4 linked regions of the Saccharomyces cerevisiae S288C genome follow. Changing the gene in region 2 together with the main gene of any one other region gives a genetic interaction. Each region holds a gene or a part of one and is shown on either strand. Other genes may lie near its edges.

What was found.
Region 1: mutations in MEX67 (region 2) and ECM1 together harm fitness more than expected from each alone (negative genetic interaction), as found in Saccharomyces cerevisiae (3 studies listed by BioGRID, with this or other methods).
Region 3: mutations in MEX67 (region 2) and MCM16 together harm fitness more than expected from each alone (negative genetic interaction), as found in Saccharomyces cerevisiae (2 studies listed by BioGRID).
Region 4: of MEX67 (region 2) and CRM1, changing one enhances a phenotype caused by changing the other (phenotypic enhancement), as found in Saccharomyces cerevisiae (6 studies listed by BioGRID, with this or other methods).

What each region holds. Positions count from the first base shown.
Region 1 is NC_001133.9:34,803-37,647, reverse strand, and holds ECM1 (Ecm1p), read right to left. Parts: upstream 1,140-2,845; coding exon 501-1,139; downstream 1-500. Other genes in the region: CNE1 (calnexin), read right to left, coding at 1-184; BDH1 ((R,R)-butanediol dehydrogenase), read right to left, coding at 1,345-2,493. UniProt on the Saccharomyces cerevisiae protein: Pre-ribosomal factor involved in 60S ribosomal protein subunit export from the nucleus.
Region 2 is NC_001148.4:227,848-233,275, forward strand, and holds MEX67 (Mex67p), read right to left. Parts: upstream 2,992-5,428; coding exon 1,192-2,991; downstream 1-1,191. Other genes in the region: DAP1 (Dap1p), read left to right, coding at 467-925; MRX4 (Mrx4p), read left to right, coding at 3,370-4,662; REV3 (DNA-directed DNA polymerase), read right to left, coding at 4,746-5,428. UniProt on the Saccharomyces cerevisiae protein: Involved in the export of mRNA from the nucleus to the cytoplasm.
Region 3 is NC_001148.4:654,596-658,454, forward strand, and holds MCM16 (Mcm16p), read left to right. Parts: upstream 1-2,203; coding exon 2,204-2,749; downstream 2,750-3,859. Other genes in the region: 60S ribosomal protein eL43 RPL43A, read left to right, coding at 1-252; THP3 (Thp3p), read right to left, coding at 545-1,957; MSF1 (phenylalanine--tRNA ligase), read left to right, coding at 2,934-3,859. UniProt on the Saccharomyces cerevisiae protein: Component of the kinetochore, a multiprotein complex that assembles on centromeric DNA and attaches chromosomes to spindle microtubules, mediating chromosome segregation and sister chromatid segregation during meiosis and mitosis.
Region 4 is NC_001139.9:930,177-937,005, reverse strand, and holds CRM1 (exportin CRM1), read right to left. Parts: upstream 4,466-6,829; coding exon 1,211-4,465; downstream 1-1,210. Other genes in the region: mitochondrial 54S ribosomal protein uL3m MRPL9, read left to right, coding at 123-932; calcium channel protein CCH1, read right to left, coding at 6,191-6,829. UniProt on the Saccharomyces cerevisiae protein: Receptor for the leucine-rich nuclear export signal (NES).

The sequences.
Region 1 (2,845 bases), on a different chromosome or scaffold from region 2:
TAGAGCCTTCATTGTTGACGGCTTCACTTGTGATCCACTCTTGGTTTAAATGCTTTGTATTAGTGTAAGCCTGAAAATGCTCCCAGAAAGAATCTTCCGCTAATGTAACGTTGGATAGCAATGAAGTGCCTTTCACCAACGCTAGATTCAAAAACAGCCACCATAAATACGCAGAAAATTTCATAGTACTACTTTGTGTGGCCGTTATCTATATTAGAAATGCGTTGCCGTTCACTTTTTTACACAATCCTTAAACGACATGCATCACACGGTTTTCAGCTAACCCATAATAATTTTCTTTTTCTTAATCAACTTGATATTGAAAAAGTTGTAACTATTAATGAAGTTTTTCAATAATAGTATACATCCAGATATATAAAAAATAAAATAAAACTAAGCTAAAACCATGTTATCTAATGTACAAAGAATGAAAGAAGATAGAAAAAAGAAGAATGCGTACAAGAATCGTGTATTCCTAGGACCTTTCATATGAAAATTTTCTATTCTTCAACATCGTCTGGCAGGACACCGAATCTATTTGTAGGAGTCTTCTGCACTGTGTTATCCTCTGCTAAAGAGTCAAAAACTTCTGGGATCTCCTCATCTTCCTTTTCAGCATTACCTTCACTAGCACTTTTTGCCTGCACAGACAACCCTCCGTTCAAAAAAGCCAGCTCTTTTTTTATAGTCTCATTGGTGCTATCCCAGCCAGCCTTTCTTGTATTTTGAATGTACTTGGCACGAGAAATGGACTTGGCAATTTTACCGTCCAGACGATTGGTAAAATTCAAGGCCTTCACTAAACGATCCCTGTCCATGGATGAAATAGAGTTGGCCAGTTTGTCTTCCAGAGCCTTTTTATTTAACTTCTTGCCCCTCTTACTTTTATTGGCTTTCTTAGATATCTTTGCTTCCAGCAATGCCTCATTCTTGGCTGCTGTTCTAATCAAAATATTAGTCAAATCGGTTTTTTCAGCTCTAGGTAGTTCACTTAAATCCTTTACCTCTGGTTCAAGAGCATCCGATTGTCTAGCAGCTCTTGAATTCTTTGATATTTTCTTGGCCATGCTTTGTTTTAGACGATATCTTACCAGTATAGTCAAGGAAAAAACTACCTTTTGTCGTCTTTGTTCCCACATTCAATACTTCTAAAGGGTCCTTAACCAAAAAAATTTTCAGCTCATCGCCAAGTTGAATAAAGGAAAAAAAAAGAAGAAAAAAAAAAATAATATAGTCGCAGAAACTTACTTCTGTCTGTTTCATAACAACAAATATTATAAAAGAAAATACATAATCTTAGATACTACAAATGAGCCGCGAGGGGCCCCAAATATTATTTTGTCATTACTTCATTTCACCGTGATTGTTAGGCGTCAATAGAATCTTAACGTTGGATTCCTTGTGATCCATCAACTCTTGGAATCCCTTTTCCCAACCGTCCTCAATCCTTTGCTTACCAGTGATTAGTTGCTTACAATCTTCCATGGCGATGTCTCCGTTGTGGATGGCACGAACAACTTCTTCGAAGTCTTCGACAACATAGCCGATCGAACCAGTCATAACTTTCTCTTGGAGAGTCACATCCATTGGTTGGAATGGGACAGGTTTTGGACCCCAAACTGCAATGTTGGTGGCTGTCCCCTTGAATGTTAATGCCTTCAAAGAGGTTTCGAAAGTAACTTGAATACCAGAACAATCATAACTGTAATCAAACCCATCATGGCTCTTGGTCAAACCACGTAGTATCTCTATAGATTTATGACCGTGCTTGGAGGGATTGAACACCTCAACGCCCAGTTTCTTGGCCATTTCTATTCTTCTCTCTGCAATTTCAGACACTACAATTTTACTAGCCCCCATTCCCTTAAGTACCAAAATGGTACACAACCCAATGGGACCTGCACCAAGAACCAAGGCTGAACTGCCTTTTTTGAAACCAGAAATCTTAACAGCATGCCAGGTGACAGAAAGAGGCTCAACTAAAGCAGCCACATCTAGAGGAATTTCCTTTGGAACCGGGATAATGTGATGTTGAGAGACTACGACTTGTTCAGCAAAGCCACCACTGATCACACCTAGTCCTACAAAACCGGCGTGGGTACATAGATTTTCACTGCCCCTCTGACAAGCATCACATGGTTTGGAATTGTAAAATTTGGAGTGTGGCCAGCAATGCAGGTCCGCACAACTGCTGGCAGCATCAACGACCACGTGGTCGCCAACCTTCACCTTTGTCACTTTAGGACCAACCTTGGAAACAATTCCTGACATCTCATGGCCCATTGCCAGAGGTAAAGCAGCGTTGGATAATTTATGGCACTCTCCATCTTTAGGCATGAAGATTGGACCATCCAAGTACTCGTGAAGATCCGAGCCACAAATCCCACACCAAGAGACGTCGATAATAACCTCATCGTCGGTTTGGATTTCTGGCCTAGGGATATCATTAGTGAAGTGAATATCACCCTTCTTGAAATATGCCAAAGCTCTCATAATTAATTAAAACTTTTTTTAGTTCCTTTTTTTTTTTTTTTCTGACTTGGTCAATCGTACTAAGACTTTTTAAGAAAGAAGAAGGGCAACATCTGCCCAAAGGGCTTGAATTGGCCATTGTCACACGAAGTATCTGCCCCACTTTTATATGTCGATTTTTTTTTCTACGTTTCCACCTATTATCATATCAAGAGAAACAGGCTAGGACCCCGTAAGGAGGAAAGAATAGGCAAGGATAGGAAAACACCGGTTTCTTCTCTCCGTCGAAACGAAAAGGGGTCAAAGTAGCGTGAGCAAATCCGGCTTGATGTTAAACTGCTGCCCTCGATTGGCTCGATAAATGTACATATGA
Region 2 (5,428 bases):
GGGACGACGCTCAGTAGTTGGCGATCGAAGCACGTGATCAGTTTTCCACATCCGTGATTTGGCGCAAATTACCATGTGAGCGTGCGGGAATAAGCTCCTTTATTTGCGGAGCGACAAAGGAAACGAGACCATATTACCCTACCTTCCTTGTTTTATTTTACTTTTTTTTCTAATTTTAATTTTCTTCGTTCCTTCAACTGTATGTACCCTTTTTCTACCGGAAATAAGACGGTCGTAGTGTCCGCGTTTTTGGTTCTTTAACGACAAGACATCAGTGCCTTCTCGCATTTTTGTTGAATTGTATTGTATTATGCTCGATGTTTCCAGAACGATATATACATCTGAGAGTTTATATATCAACGATCATTTTCTTGTTGCAGTAAGCTATAATAGACGCGTCAAATAGTCTAACCAGTCTAAATCTCATCAGCCACACACACGTACATCGGAATATTATAGAGAACAAATGTCCTTCATTAAAAACTTGTTATTTGGAGGTGTTAAAACAAGTGAGGATCCAACCGGGCTCACAGGTAACGGGGCCTCAAACACAAACGATTCTAATAAAGGTAGTGAACCGGTAGTAGCGGGTAATTTCTTTCCTAGGACGCTTTCCAAATTTAACGGCCACGACGATGAAAAAATATTTATTGCTATTAGGGGCAAAGTATACGACTGCACAAGAGGGAGGCAGTTTTACGGTCCAAGCGGGCCATACACTAACTTTGCAGGCCATGATGCGTCGCGTGGTCTTGCATTGAACTCCTTCGATCTGGACGTTATTAAAGATTGGGATCAGCCTATCGATCCCTTAGATGATCTGACAAAAGAACAGATTGACGCACTGGATGAGTGGCAAGAGCATTTTGAGAATAAGTACCCATGCATTGGTACTCTGATTCCGGAGCCTGGCGTGAACGTATGACGATTGAGCTCCGCACATTATTTATTAATAGCAAACACCAAGGAAAGGGAAAAAGGAAGGGGCGTGGTGGACGATGATATATGTATACATATACATATCTATATTTTGAAAAAATCTTCTATATAACGGTTGTATAGAAATAATTACTTATTTATGAATTAGTACAAAATATACAAAGCATGCTGCTGTTCGGAACGTGACGAAAACAGTAGCTTAAACTGTATATTTTTTGTGATACTGTGCGGCTGAAACAGGGAACAATATCATTAGAACTGCACAAATGCTTCTCTAGGGATGCCATTCATGCTACTCTGAAAACCCTTTATGGCAACTTCATAGTTCCAGTTACTTTGCTCGGCCAACATAAACGTGTATTCTGCATTCAATTTCGTTTCCAAATGTAGTTTATTCAGCAGCTCGAGTTGTACGGGATTTAGCCGCGACTGGACATCTGGAGGTAGTTGCAAAGTGGGAGCCATGACCATGGCTCCTTGGGGTGCGCCGGGAATGCTCATCCCTCCTGGTACCACTGAAGGTTGTGGCTGCGGTGGTGTCGTTATATTTGGGTTCATGCTTGCGACCTGTGGTAGGACCGAGGCCTGTTGCTGTGGAGGCTGTGCTATTGCAATAGATGCAGTTTTCCAAGCGCCTGTGGAATACGCTCTTACAGTTAACAGATCAGATGCGATTATGACACTATTATTCATTGGAACAATTACCCAGGTTCTATCAAAGGATTTTTTGGATAACTTATTATTTGATGTGGAGTTGTAACCATGATTGTATCTTCTATTCTTTTGATAGTTATTTTTCCCCGTTTTTTTATTGGATTCCAGTTCAGGCTTGCCAGTCTCTTCAAAAAATCCGTGCAACGTAATAACGAACCCATTTATTTGAGGATAACTAATTGTTTCCATTGAGTATTCATTGGGTTGTTCTTGTAAATGGTGCTTTGTTTTCGGCAAAGTCTTGAATATACTATTAATGGACTCTTGCCCGATTGACAATCTCTGCTGGATAGATTTTTCACTGGACACTTTGGATATATTACGTGAGGACGACATGTAATAACCAAATGCTGGAGTTTGGTCCGAATCTGTTACCGTAGATGGAGGAATAGTAGAATCCACGGAAACAGAAAACTGGGATTGGGGCGAATACAAATTTAACAGTTGTTCTCTATTATTATCCCATAGATTCAAAAAGTTAGTTGCAAAGTCTGTAGATGATTGCCCTAATGCATCGTTTTCGAAAAAAAACTGTTGAATCTTCATCGGTAATGAGTAAACGGTTTGCAATTTTTGTTCGTCTCTCACAATCACGTTATCTAGTACAACCAATTTCGGAAATAATCTTAACATTTCAGTGCGATACAACTTATCGGTGGTTATCGGGTTATTTGTCATCAAAAGCTCTCTTAGATCTTTGAATTTGTTCTTCCAAACTTCTAGCGATCTAAATCTAAAAATCTGATTGTTGGCCAGACAGAGGTTTTTCAAATTAGGAAATGTTTGAGCCAATGTGGAAATTGCTGAGATGTCCTTAAGTTGGTTGTCAGCAAGATTGACACTTTCCACTATCAAACTTTTTTCTGTAGAAGCCAGTTTCATCATTGCTGGAAACATCTTAGACTGGGTGGAGATGGAACTAAAGACGCCCTTTTGAATTAGCTCGGGATCTGAATGTAAAGCGCCCAAATTTAGTAATTTTGTTTGTGGGTCATACCTCTTAAGGAGCACCCCCCTCAAGAACGAAATGGTGTCTGAAGTTCCCGCAGAGGCCCCATTGTTATCTAAAAGTTCGAACTTTAAATTACTGCCTGCAAACCGGACACCGTTCCATTTCATTAACGATTCTGCTTCTGCCTTTGAGTTGACATATCCAATAACTAAAGGTCCTTCCACATGAGCGTCATAAACAGCTACTCGAGCGTTGCGGCTTATAAAATTAATCAAATCGTTCATGGTTGCATTCTGCCAGTTCCTCACGCTAATCTTTATTCTATTTTGTTGCATCTGCTGTTGAGCCATCATATTGATATTTCCAACATTGTGAAATCCGCTCATTTTTTTTGCTGCTATTAGCGATGCAGAATTTTTAACGATTTATTTTACTCTTCCTTCTTAGAGTAAGTATGTCTTCAACAGTCTGTTACTATTTTTTTTTCTACATACTCAATTCAGCTCTTACTGAAATTTTCTTCTGGAAAAAAAAGGAAGACGGGTAATGATGATCTTATATAACAGTATAATCTGTAGGTATATTTATCGTTAGAATCCTCTACGAAAGGCAAGTGGGCATGGATTTCTAGCTTTTGAAGCCGCGTTTAAGTTTCTTCAGAATTAATATTCGTAGAAATTTTCTGTTCTTTGCTTCTTTTCTGAGCTTTGGTGGAATAAACTTGGTTCCATTCAACTTAAAGGAAGGAGGAAGTACTGTTCAAAATGACAGTTTTATACACATCTGCATCGCTGAAAAAAATGAAGTGCTTGGCATTCAACATGGGCATGAATTGCGTACGAACAGTATCTCATGCAAGAAGTGGAGGTGCAAAATTTGGAGGACGGAATGTATTTAATATATTTGACTCAAAAACTCCTGATTCAGTGCGTATAAAGGCCTTCAAAAACACAATATACCAGTCTGCCATGGGCAAAGGTAAGACCAAGTTTTCTGCAATGGAAATTAATCTCATAACAAGTCTAGTGCGCGGATATAAAGGAGAAGGTAAGAAGAACGCGATAAATCCTCTCCAAACTAACGTGCAAATTCTTAACAAATTATTACTAACACATCGATTAACAGACAAAGACATATTAGAAGGAATGAACCTGGCAGCCGGTCCTGTCAATGTTGCTATTCCTCGAGACATAACACCGCAGGAAGAAAAGAAGAAAGTTGAACTAAGAAATCGAAAAGCAGAGAATATGGATCTTCACCCGAGCAGGAAGATGCATATTAAGGAACTTCTACACTCTTTGAACTTAGATATGTGTAATGATGAGGAGGTTTATCAGAAAATATCACTTTACTTACAGAAAAATGAGGAAAGCAGGACTTCAGTGGGTGCCTCGCAACAAAACCACGTAGATATCGATATAAACTCCCTAAAACGCTATCTACAAAATATTGAAAAGAAGGCACGTCAAAAAAGTGCCATCGATAAACAAAAAAAGAATCAAGCTCGTATATATCAATGGAATACTCAATCCTTCTCCGAAATAGTACCCTTATCAGCTGGAAATATCTTATTCAAAAGGGAACCCAATCGCTTATGGAAACGTTTACAAAATGGAATAAGTGTATTTTTAGGTTCAAACGGAGGAGGAAAAAAGAGTAAAACTACTAAAAAAGTACTTCAAGGGAATAACATATTGTTACACTCATTAGAAAACAATAAGGATATGACCCTGTCAAACAACTTTGATCACAGTGTCTTTAACATCAATTTTACGGACTTATTTGGCGTTATTAATGCATCTGGGTCCCCACCAGATAGAGTTTTGAACGAAATTAATGAGATCGAATTAAAAGGTTGGAAATGTGTGGGGAACTTATACGATAATAATAAAATTGTAGTTTTTCAAAGTAGCAATCCACTCTTAGAGGATACGAAGATTCCTCAAAAGTCTTTCACTAATTCAAAGAGATTCCTTATTTCACTCTCAGCATTGCTGGCCTCCTTTTTTGCATATTATAGATACCGTCTATCTCAACGTCAAGAATCAAAGAAATGATTTTTTTCTTTCTTGTATATAACAACGTTATACATAGAAACAAATAACTACTCATCATTTTGCGAGACATATCTGTGTCTAGATTACCAATCATTTAGAGATATTAATGCTTCTTCCCTTTGAACAGATTGATTATCTCTCAAGTATCTTTCTGCTTTGACACGAGAGTAAAATACTGGACAGTCATATGAATTGCATTTACTAGCTATATGGTCATTTTCGATGCCTGCATCGGAAGTGTAACGATAACTGCACGTCCTGCACACGGTCTTTAGTGTTTGGTATTCTTTTTGTCTCTTTAATTTCTTTATGAGAAATGATAAGGTTGTGGTGCTTCTTTTCTCTAAACAGTCATCACATAACTGAAGTGAACATATTTTAGTCAATTCTTCACCACAATTACAACATGTTGCAGAAGTTCCTACTCTTGTTATGTTTTCCACTTTTGTAGTAGTTGTGCTCGCCCTTTTGGATTTTACTATTTCCTGAGCCCAGTTGCCAACATTTATACCAATCAAATTGAACAATCTATCAAGAGGAGGTATCAGAATTTTGTTTATATAATACTCCGAATCTAACTCTAAATTCTCACCTTCTAAGAACTCTTCTGGTGATACGCATCTTTCCCGAAGCAGTTGTCCTTGCTTTCCTTTAACAACAAGGTAAGGTATACGCTCCTTGTATTGGGGTTCTGCTCTATGGTCTTCATTTATTCTTCTTTTTACAACCACGGCACCTGCAGGGGCTGTCTTTTCGCTTTTATACG
Region 3 (3,859 bases), 430 kb from region 2:
ATCACTGGTAAGTACGGTGTCCGTTATGGTTCCTCTTTGAGAAGACAAGTCAAGAAGTTGGAAATCCAACAACACGCTAGATACGATTGTTCTTTCTGTGGTAAGAAGACCGTCAAGAGAGGTGCTGCTGGTATTTGGACTTGTTCCTGTTGTAAGAAGACCGTCGCTGGTGGTGCTTACACTGTCTCCACTGCTGCTGCCGCCACCGTTAGATCTACCATCAGAAGATTGAGAGAAATGGTTGAAGCTTGATTTTATTTTAATTATATGTATAAAAATCATAAAACAACTATATAATTAATTATAACTCAAAAACTTTTCCAGTAAATGTCTGTTTTTTGGGCAGGAACAATGGCCAATAGCTCACGTACTGTTCGTGGGGGCCTTAAGCCTGGTATCTAGGCTCTGATTTCCAGAAGAAAGTGACATCGATGAATGCACTCAAGAGATTTTATGTGTTGTGAATATGTATATATTTATTTAGAAAAAAAAAAAAAAAAAAAAACCAAAATCATATACCTTAGGCATCCCGTTTCCCTCTTCATCATTTTTGTCCCTTTATATCAATTTTTTTAGACTTCATATAATTTTGTATCAACTGTACCCTACATCCCTTGGTATTCAAAATCTTGATATTACTACTTTTGCCATTACTGTCAGTGATTTGTTTGTTTAATATGAACTCCGTCAAGTTTTGCTCATTCAAGAAATTTGTTGTCTCTTCTATACTGTTGAAATTAAACTCACTTTTAACAAAATCTAAATTGACCTGGTTATAACTCTTACAAATTATGGTCAAAAATATCAACTTTTCTAGATTTAAGAATGAATTAATTAGACATTTTTCAAATTTGTGCAGTTTTAGGTAGTTTTTCATGAAGTAGTGATAATTGCCGACTAGTTTCATATCGCTCAACTCAAATATCATTTTGACATGTTCGTCCTCCAAGATTTCCGAAGAGCCATCGTCTATTAACTTAAGTTTTAAATGAGAAATCGACGGATAGTCTTCGGTTAACATCGAATACAAAACAGAATAGCATATAAATTCGGAATAAGATTTTTTTGGTATTGTAGGGTTTTCGAATAACGCCATAATCCTATTTTGACATTGATTAAATTCCCCAAGATCTCCGTTCTCCAAGGCAATACGTGCATGCGTTTGGTACACTTTAATAGTGAAAGAGTTCTCGATCATTTGCACTCTTAGGTCTTGTCTCATTGATTTAAACTGGTCGCAAAGGTAAGTATAAGTGGCTGTTTTAGATTGGTATTTGTCCATTAACAAGCAATACATTTTTTGTAGAATATTTGGGGGTCTGATCAAGTCAGGATTAGGCTCTGAAGTTAGTCTCAGATAAGATTTCTCTAGAGTTTGGCAACGCCCTACCACATGAATCTTTTTGTCATATTGATGAGATTTGCTACTAATGGCATTTAGGTTGGCAAAGTCTTCATTCAAATTATCGTTACTATTCGTCGTCGCTGATGGTCCCTGACTGAATCTTTCTGCCCTTCTCTTTCTTCTCTCTAATTCATCACTGCCACCCATTTCAACTTTCCATCCCGATGCCGAACCTACAGCACCATGCCCTACTATATTACTGTTGCTCATTACATTGCCGGATACCCCGTTAGAAAGGGCTGATGCCTTCTTAGATACTCTTGGTAATTTCTTTTTAATGTTTTTGTTCATACGTTTTTGTAATCCCGGAAGCGGTGTTACCATCAAAGGGTTAGAAACCTGGTTGACGTTGTTCCAAGATAAACGTGGTTCTGGCAAAGGCAGAGAAGGTTGTTGATTGGCAATGAAATTATTATTATTGTATGTCAGAGAAGGGAAAGATCCGGCGTAATCTAGGGGCCTATTCAGGCTTTGGCCGAATGGTCCTCCTTGAGATGAAGCTTCCCTGTCCTCCGTGGTATTGTTAGTAAAGTGACCGTAAGGATTCTGCATAATGTTATTGGAAACTCAACTACTCGCTGCCGAACGGTTCCTACTCCTTGTATTCTATGGTTTCTTTACGAGACAGCCAAATCTCTATTTTTTGTCATGTTCAGTCCTTTTTTACTCAAAAATTCCAAACCGTGAAGGATGATGCATGTTGACAATAAATGATAGCCGTCATCACATACAGTGTGCAATATCTAGATACTTCTAACCATTTCTTCCTGTCGTGGGGAGTTCATACCATTTTGACAGATGACAAACAGTAGTGAAAAACAATGGGAAAGAATCCAGCAATTAGAAAAGGAGCACGTGGAGGTATATAGAGAGTTGTTGATCACGTTGGACAGGTTGTACTTGATTAGAAAACACAATCATGCGGTAATATTAAGCCATACTCAACAGCGCCTCTTGGAAATTAGACACCAACTTCAAATTAATCTTGAAAAGACTGCTCTTCTTATTAGACTGTTGGAGAAACCGGACAATACCAATGTATTATTCACCAAGCTACAAAACCTCTTAGAAGAAAGCAATTCTCTGGACTATGAGCTCTTGCAATCGTTAGGTGCTCAATCTTCATTGCACAAACAGTTGATTGAATCAAGAGCAGAACGCGACGAATTGATGTCAAAACTGATTGAGTTATCGTCGAAGTTTCCCAAACCAACTATACCGCCAGACGACAGTGATACTGCTGGAAAACAGGTTGAGGTAGAAAAGGAAAATGAAACGATACAAGAATTGATGATTGCTTTACAGATACACTCCGGATATACAAACATATCCTACACAATTTGATTTTTATCTTCTAATGCTATTTATATATTCAAATAATTTTAATACTGACAACGCTAATAATAATAGTTACTTAATTAAGGTTTGAATCTTCGAGAAAAAAAAAAGGTAGGAAAATTAAGGAACTACTCACAAATTCAGAGAGAGAGAAGGGATAAAAAAATATCTGCCAATGGAGGTAACTTCAATGTTTCTCAATAGAATGATGAAGACCAGGACTGGTCTTTATCGCTTATATTCAACCCTTAAAGTTCCACATGTAGAAATCAATGGCATAAAATACAAGACCGACCCACAGACTACCAATGTTACAGATTCAATAATAAAGCTTACCGACAGATCATTACATTTGAAAGAATCACATCCAGTAGGCATTCTTCGCGATCTAATTGAAAAGAAATTAAACTCAGTCGACAACACATTTAAGATCTTTAATAATTTCAAGCCCGTGGTAACCACAATGGAAAACTTCGATTCTTTAGGGTTTCCTAAGGATCATCCTGGAAGATCAAAATCTGACACATATTATATAAATGAGACGCACCTACTGAGAACACATACTTCAGCCCACGAATTAGAGTGCTTTCAAAAAATAAGAAACGATTCAGATAATATTAAAAGTGGATTTTTAATATCTGCAGATGTGTACAGAAGAGATGAAATTGACAAAACTCACTATCCGGTATTCCACCAAATGGAAGGAGCCACAATTTGGAAACGAACGAAGGCTGATGTGGGCGTAAAGGAGCCAATGTATATCGAGAAAATCCGTGAAGATATCAGACAGGTAGAGAACCTTTTAAATAAAGAAAATGTAAAGATTACGGTTGACGATGATACTATACCTTTGAAAGAAAATAATCCTAAACAAGAGTATATGTCCGATCTGGAGGTTGATTTGTGCTCTCAACATTTGAAGAGGTCCATTGAACTGATAGTTTCTGAAGTTTTTAACAAAAAAATATCTAGCATGATCAAGAACAAAGCGAATAATACACCCAAAGAGCTAAAAGTCCGTTGGATTAACGCTTACTTCCCCTGGACCGCGCCCTCATGGGAAATAGAGGTTTGGTGGCAGGGCGAATGGCTCGAACTCTGCGGATGCGGATTGAT
Region 4 (6,829 bases), on a different chromosome or scaffold from region 2:
AGATATTTGTTTTCGGGTAATCCCTTGTCAAACGAACTTTATTGAAAAATATATGGACGATAAATTGACAACTGGGACGAGAAAGGGCAACTCTTTGAAAGCAAGAGAGAACAAATATAGCCATGTCGAAGTTCCTACAGGGATCAATATTTAGCATATCAAAACTTCATGTTAGATATTCTTCTACTCGGCCTTTTCTAGTGGCTCCTAGTATTGCTAACAGTATAACAACCGAGGCTCCAGCGATTAATCACTCACCTGAACTGGCAAATGCGAGAAAATGGCTACCAAAAAGATGCGGTTTAATTACTCGTAAGAAGGGAATGATGCCTTATTTTGATAAATCTACTGGTGAAAGAAGCGCCGCTACTATATTAGAAGTTAATAATGTTGAAGTAATAATGCATAGAACTTCGGAGGTCAATGGGTACTTCGCGTGTCAAGTAGGGTACGGATCAAGGCATTTGTCTAAAGTTAGCAGACAAATGCTTGGTCATTTCGCTTCTAAAGTTGTTAACCCAAAAGAGCATGTGGCCGAATTCCGAGTTAAAGATGAAAAGGGATTAATACCACCTGGCACATTATTGAAACCCTCTTTTTTCAAAGAAGGCCAATATGTTGACGTCAGATCAGTCAGCAAAGGCAAAGGTTTTACTGGTGTGATGAAAAGGTATGGATTCAAGGGTTTGAGAGCATCTCATGGTACATCTATTATGCATAGACACGGTGGTTCTTATGGTCAAAACCAAGACCCAGGTAGGGTACTGCCAGGAAGAAAGATGCCTGGTCATATGGGAAACGAGCATGTTACTATCCAAAATGTTAAAGTTTTGAAAGTCGACGATGAAAATAATGTTATTTGGGTTAAAGGCTCTGTGGCTGGGCCCAAAAACAGTTTCGTTAAAATTCAAGATGCAATCAAAAAAACTTGAGCATAAGGCGTATAAGTATTTTACTACAATCATGTACATACATCAATAATAACAATAAAATGGGTAATCACTTAAGAATCTTCAAATAATATTCTTTACTTTTCCATGAAGTTGGCTAAATAGTATTTAGTACTATATTAGAGTATTGGAACTTTGAAGAACCAATTTACATACAATATGAAGTGAAAAAGAAATGAAAACCCCGTGGTTATAAATTAGAGACTAGTTAATAAAAGGGAAAAAATATTGGAAATTTAAAGAATGATACGCCACCGCCTCTAATCATCAAGTTCGGAAGGTTTTAATAACCCACCAATCTTGGCAGCTTTTTCCCTCTCTAGTCTATTCTGTTCCATTAATGCATTCTCTTTATCTTCAGCAAACAAATAATCTGTTGGATCACCTCCGACTTCTTTGATTTGCACCAAAAAGTCCCTCAAAGTGCCTTTGAAGACCACTAAGTCTTTGTATTGTTTAGTTAATGCAGAGAGAAAACTTGCGATTTGTTCGGATGTTAAATGGGGGAATGCATTACTTAACATATTAGCCAAATATTGGCTTAAGTAGACTTGATTTGAAGTTCCTTGTGGTACCTCAGCTTCTTGATATAATGGTACCGAAATCTTGTTATCATAAACCAAAGAAATCAACTTCATTAGTAACAAAGCTTGCTTAGAAAAACCGGATTTGTGGTCGGAATCGGTTAAAACAAAAAACGTTTCACTGACAAAAATGAAAAAATAATTCTTGTGGAACTCATTTGCAAATGGGACATTTCCCATTCTTTCAATGTTTTTCACTAGGTCTAATGCAATCTGTAGACCATTAACTTCGACATCTCTATTGTTATGTTTGAACGCCCAACAAATAGCGTCAACAAACAATTTAAAGGCAGCCGGAGGTAGTTCCAAAAATGCAGCAAATGATTTCTCATTGATGACCTTCAATAACTTGTAAAATTCTACACGATGCTCTGGATATTCTGTGAAGTCTTTGTTAATCATGTCCAAAGTGCATTCAAATACACTCTGTAAAATTAAAATAACACCTTGTGGGATCATATGACCAACCTTTTCTACTACTGTTGTCATACAATTTAGCACTTCGGCGTCCCTTGCATCAGGAACGTTGTTCATATAGTCTTCAAGTACAGCGTTCAATAATGGCTCAACTAACACTTTAACGACATCATCCAAATTTCTCGCCTTGGATATATAGGTCTCAACAAGCTTCAGAATCTCTTTTTTGATGGTTCTCAAACCACGAACCTTTGGTGTCTTCGTAGCAATTAGACCTTCTGCGGCAACTTGAGCAGAAATCATCGAAGAAACAGCTCTGTATAGCTGAAGCATATTGTAATAGATGTGACCCAACTGTGGATAGAAATCTGCTCCCATTGAGGTGCAGACAGCTACATTGGTTTTTATAATATTCGCAATAATTTTGACAGTTTCAGAATCTAACAACAATGTTGGGTTAGCAGTGGATTGTTCCACTATAGTGTCCCAAGCCATATTTGGCAGTTGCATCAAATCACTTAATAATCTATTTCTCTCCGCTACGCTTCTTTCTTCAGAAATAATAATACCACAAGCCTTGTAAAATGTATGGACCTGTTGCGGCTGTAGGTCAGCAGTTGTCTTTTGAATATCCCTAATTATTGTTTGGATGAAAGGCTCAGACTCACGGGGTTGTTGAATAACAAAATGATATTTACATTTTTGAACAATCTTAATGAATGTGTCACATGCCATATCCTGAACACCCTCATGAGTTTCATGCATAAATTCAAAAAGTTTCAAAATAACTGTTCTTAGAAAATTCCAGTGAGCCTTCAAAAATCTAGGATATTGGCCCACGACGTACATAATATCCGATGCAACAACAGCTTTATTATCTTTACCCCTTTTCTTGACCGTTAAATCTAGTAAATCTTTAATAACAGTAACTACAAACCTTTTTTCAGTATCTTCGCTCATTGTACCAGATATGGAACCAATAGCCCAAGATAAAGTGTTGATATTATGCCATGACCATTCGGAACCATCGATTTGCCTTGCCAATTTACTGATCATGATTTCTTCTGTATCGATAACATTCAAATGGGTCAAATATACAAGAACCTCTCTTTCTGATTTGTATAATTGGATAGTGTCTGATTCTTTAACGAACTCTCTAACAATTTCTCCTTCATCATTTTCAACCACAAGGACTTCTTCTGGTCTAACCATATTTTCAATAATGACCAATCTCAACTGTGAACAAATTTCTTCGTAAATATGTTTTTTTAATGGAAATCTTTTCATATATTCCGGATTTAGGGCGCCAGATCCAGTTGAGATAGCTTGTGAACCGACTGATAACTGTATCAATGGGCTCATTTCGGTAGCAGGCAAACGCTGAACCTCATAAAACAAATCTGCTACTAAATTATGCCAGTAATCCAATGTCGTCTTAAATAGTTCTCTTTCTTCGATTTTGGATAATTGAATTAAGTATTGGTGCGCATTCAACAACAACTCTCTTAACGATTCATCACTCTCTAGAAGGGCCCTATTACGAGCGAGATATGTAGTTAGAAACATTGCTAAATCTTGTAAGAAAGATTGATCATTACCGTTAGCATTTGCATAAGTGGCTTTCAGATCGGCAGTCACGGGCATCACACTTGTGGCAATTTGTTGTAGAGTATTTTGGAAAAAAAGTACAGTTTGTCTTTTTATCAAATCATTATCTTGTGGAATTTTTAGATTTGAAACCTCAGTCAAACATTTCAATGTGATGGCTCTTGTATCAGGCGATGTCATGAATTTGGTGCTTAATAATTCCAAAATATTGGTTTCATAAATATAACGATAAGGAATCCAATGTAAATATCTCAGTAAAGATTCTAAGGTTGCCACTATTAGAGAGCTTGAAGAACCTTGTTCCAAAACTTGAAAACATAATTTAAAAATCTGTTCAAATTCTTTTGACATGGAATTTTTCAAATGTAAAGCTTTAGCTTGTGTCATTTGTTCCGCAGAGAAATCGAAGACTTCTTCGGATAGCAGTTTCAAAACGATCATGTTATTTTCACAAACATTAACAGAGGAACTTGAACTGCCGATTAGTTCTGGGATAAATTCAGGCCAATTCTGAGGCCATTCCTGCTTTAAAATTTGGACCAAAGTCAAGTCCGACTTATTGATCAGGTTCTTTTGTGTTTTAAATACTTCATCGTCTTGGCACATGGAGATAATCATACCAACAACGAAGTTCCTAATTCCAATTCTATGATCATTCGGCAACAATTTCCATTTTCTAGTAATTAATTTATCAAGGATGGAAAGGGCAATAAATTTTGATTGAGGGTTAGTTGAGAATTGAAGAATTTGGTCAGCTTTTTGCCAAGCGTCTGGATTATCTTGAAATTTAGTCAAAATCTCTTGGGCTTGCTTTTGCTGAACACCTGAACCTTGATAGAATGTAGATACCACCTGATCTAATAGAGCGATATCTAAGTCGTTAGAAAAATCCAAAATTCCTTCCATATTATGTTTTTATCCTATTTTTGAAGTCAGTGAGCGGTTTCAATAATGTAGAGTAAAATGTTAACTTCTTCTTAATTATACTATTAGTTAAGTTTCTTGCCTTTCACAGGTCAACGTCTATTATTGTAGGTGTAAGTAATTGAAAGAGCGAGAATGATAGAAAAGAACAAAAGAAAACTTAACAATGATTGACTTTACTTAAAATAATCAGGCCAGAGAAATGAATAGTGTTGAGGTTCTCAAGATCTATGTCAAAGTTGTGACCGAATATCCTGCAGTTGATAATCTTTTTTGCCTTTGCTATTAGCGATAATTCATAATAATGCTAACGTAGGAAGAATAAGGAAAGCCAGGGAAATCTGCGAAATTCTTTTTTTTTCTTATAAAGAAAGATCATTCCAAATAGTATATATCTCCGGGTAATGATGTAATATTGCCCTTCATAATATATTATTTGTATTGAAACGATATAAGAGGAGAGGATTGACAGTAACTGGGAGGTATATAATGTGTACACAACATGAGAAATGGGTAAATGATGAGATAATTGTTGGGATTCCATTGTTGATAAAGGCTATAATATTAGGTATACAGAATATACTAGAAGTTCTCCTCGAGGATATAGGAATCCTCAAAATGGAATCTATATTTCTACATACTAATATTACGATTATTCCTCATTCCGTTTTATATGTTTCATTATCCTATTATATTATCAATCCTTGCACTTCAGCTTCCTCTAACATCGATGACAGCTTCTCATAACTTATGTCATCATCTTAACACCGTATATGATAATATATTGATAATATAACTATTAGTTGATAGACGATAGTGGATTTTTATTCCAACACAACAATTGAGTACTATCATATTCGTATGTTTCCGTTGTATCGCCATTCTAAATAAATGGAAAAGCTGTTAATATAATTGGCGTTACTTTTCGGATGAGCCGTATCGGCTGTGCATTTAACACCCGTTAAAGCTTCAAATACAAAATTGTTGGAACGAGAGTAATTAATAGTGACATGAGTTGCTATGGTAACAATATAATGCTTACATCGTATATTAATGTACACCTCGTATACGTTTAAGTGTGATTGCACCTATTGCAGAAGGAATGTTAAACGAGAAGCTGAGACAATACTGAAGCTGTGCTTAAAATCTATTAGTTGAACATGATATGGTAGGTACATATATGAGGAATATGAGTCGTCACATCAATGTATAGTAACTACCGGAATCACTATTATATTGGTCATGATTAATATGACCAATCGGCGTGTGTTTTATATACCTCTCTTATTTAGTATAAGAAGATCAATACTTATTTCTTCATTAATACTATTTTTTACCTCTAATTATCAACAAAAATAATATCCGGAATAATCAAAAAAGATTTAGAGTGCATAAATTAATTCCCTTCTAATGGGTACTCTTGCAATGTATAGTATTCTTTGCCCAGAGGAAGATAAAACTTATTCAGATCTCTTCAACCATTAAGATATAATCAGTAAGCGCAAGTGGTTTAGTGGTAAAATCCAACGTTGCCATCGTTGGGCCCCCGGTTCGATTCCGGGCTTGCGCATTTTTTTCTTTTCTTTTTTCCCTGAATAGTAAAGTTTGACATGCTCTAGAAAATCACCTCTCAATAAAACAAATTTAAATTATTCTTATTGTTCATTTTTACATCTATAAAGCCTCTTAAATATGCCCTTATATAATTTATCTATCAATTAGATCATTTGCGCTATCGTCATTATTATCTATTGGTTCTTCCGGGGGCTCCATCGTAGAGTCTTGATTCATTCTCGGAGACCACATAAAATTGTTAACACCGTAGTCCATTCTAGGTGTCGCAATAGGTTCTCTTTCTAAAATTCCTGGAGCAGGTTCCAGATTTACGTTTATATTCGAAATGTGAGACGATACTGTGGGATCTTTAACATCCCATTCGGGTTCAATGGTACGTTTCATCCTGCAATGAAATTTCCATCTTGTTACCACCATCTCCAATACATCGAAGTTTCTTTGATTTTCTAAGTACTTGTCCACTTTACCCAGGATATATAGATGATGGACATATTGATCAATACCTAGACATTCCCTTGCAGAATAAGCTGTATAGAGAGGTATTTGTAATAACAAATCCGAGAATCTGATACATCCATTATAAGCATTCGTATAGTGAATGCTTTGTACAAATCTTCTGTACTGTAACTTCCTCTGTATGATCTTTGCTTTATCAATCGTATTCAGCTCTTTGTTCAGTCCGATCAGGTCTATTTTGACGTCATATGGATCATCTGGGTTAACCTCCATGTAGTTCTCGACTAGACTTTTTATTGTCAATCTACCTTCCCA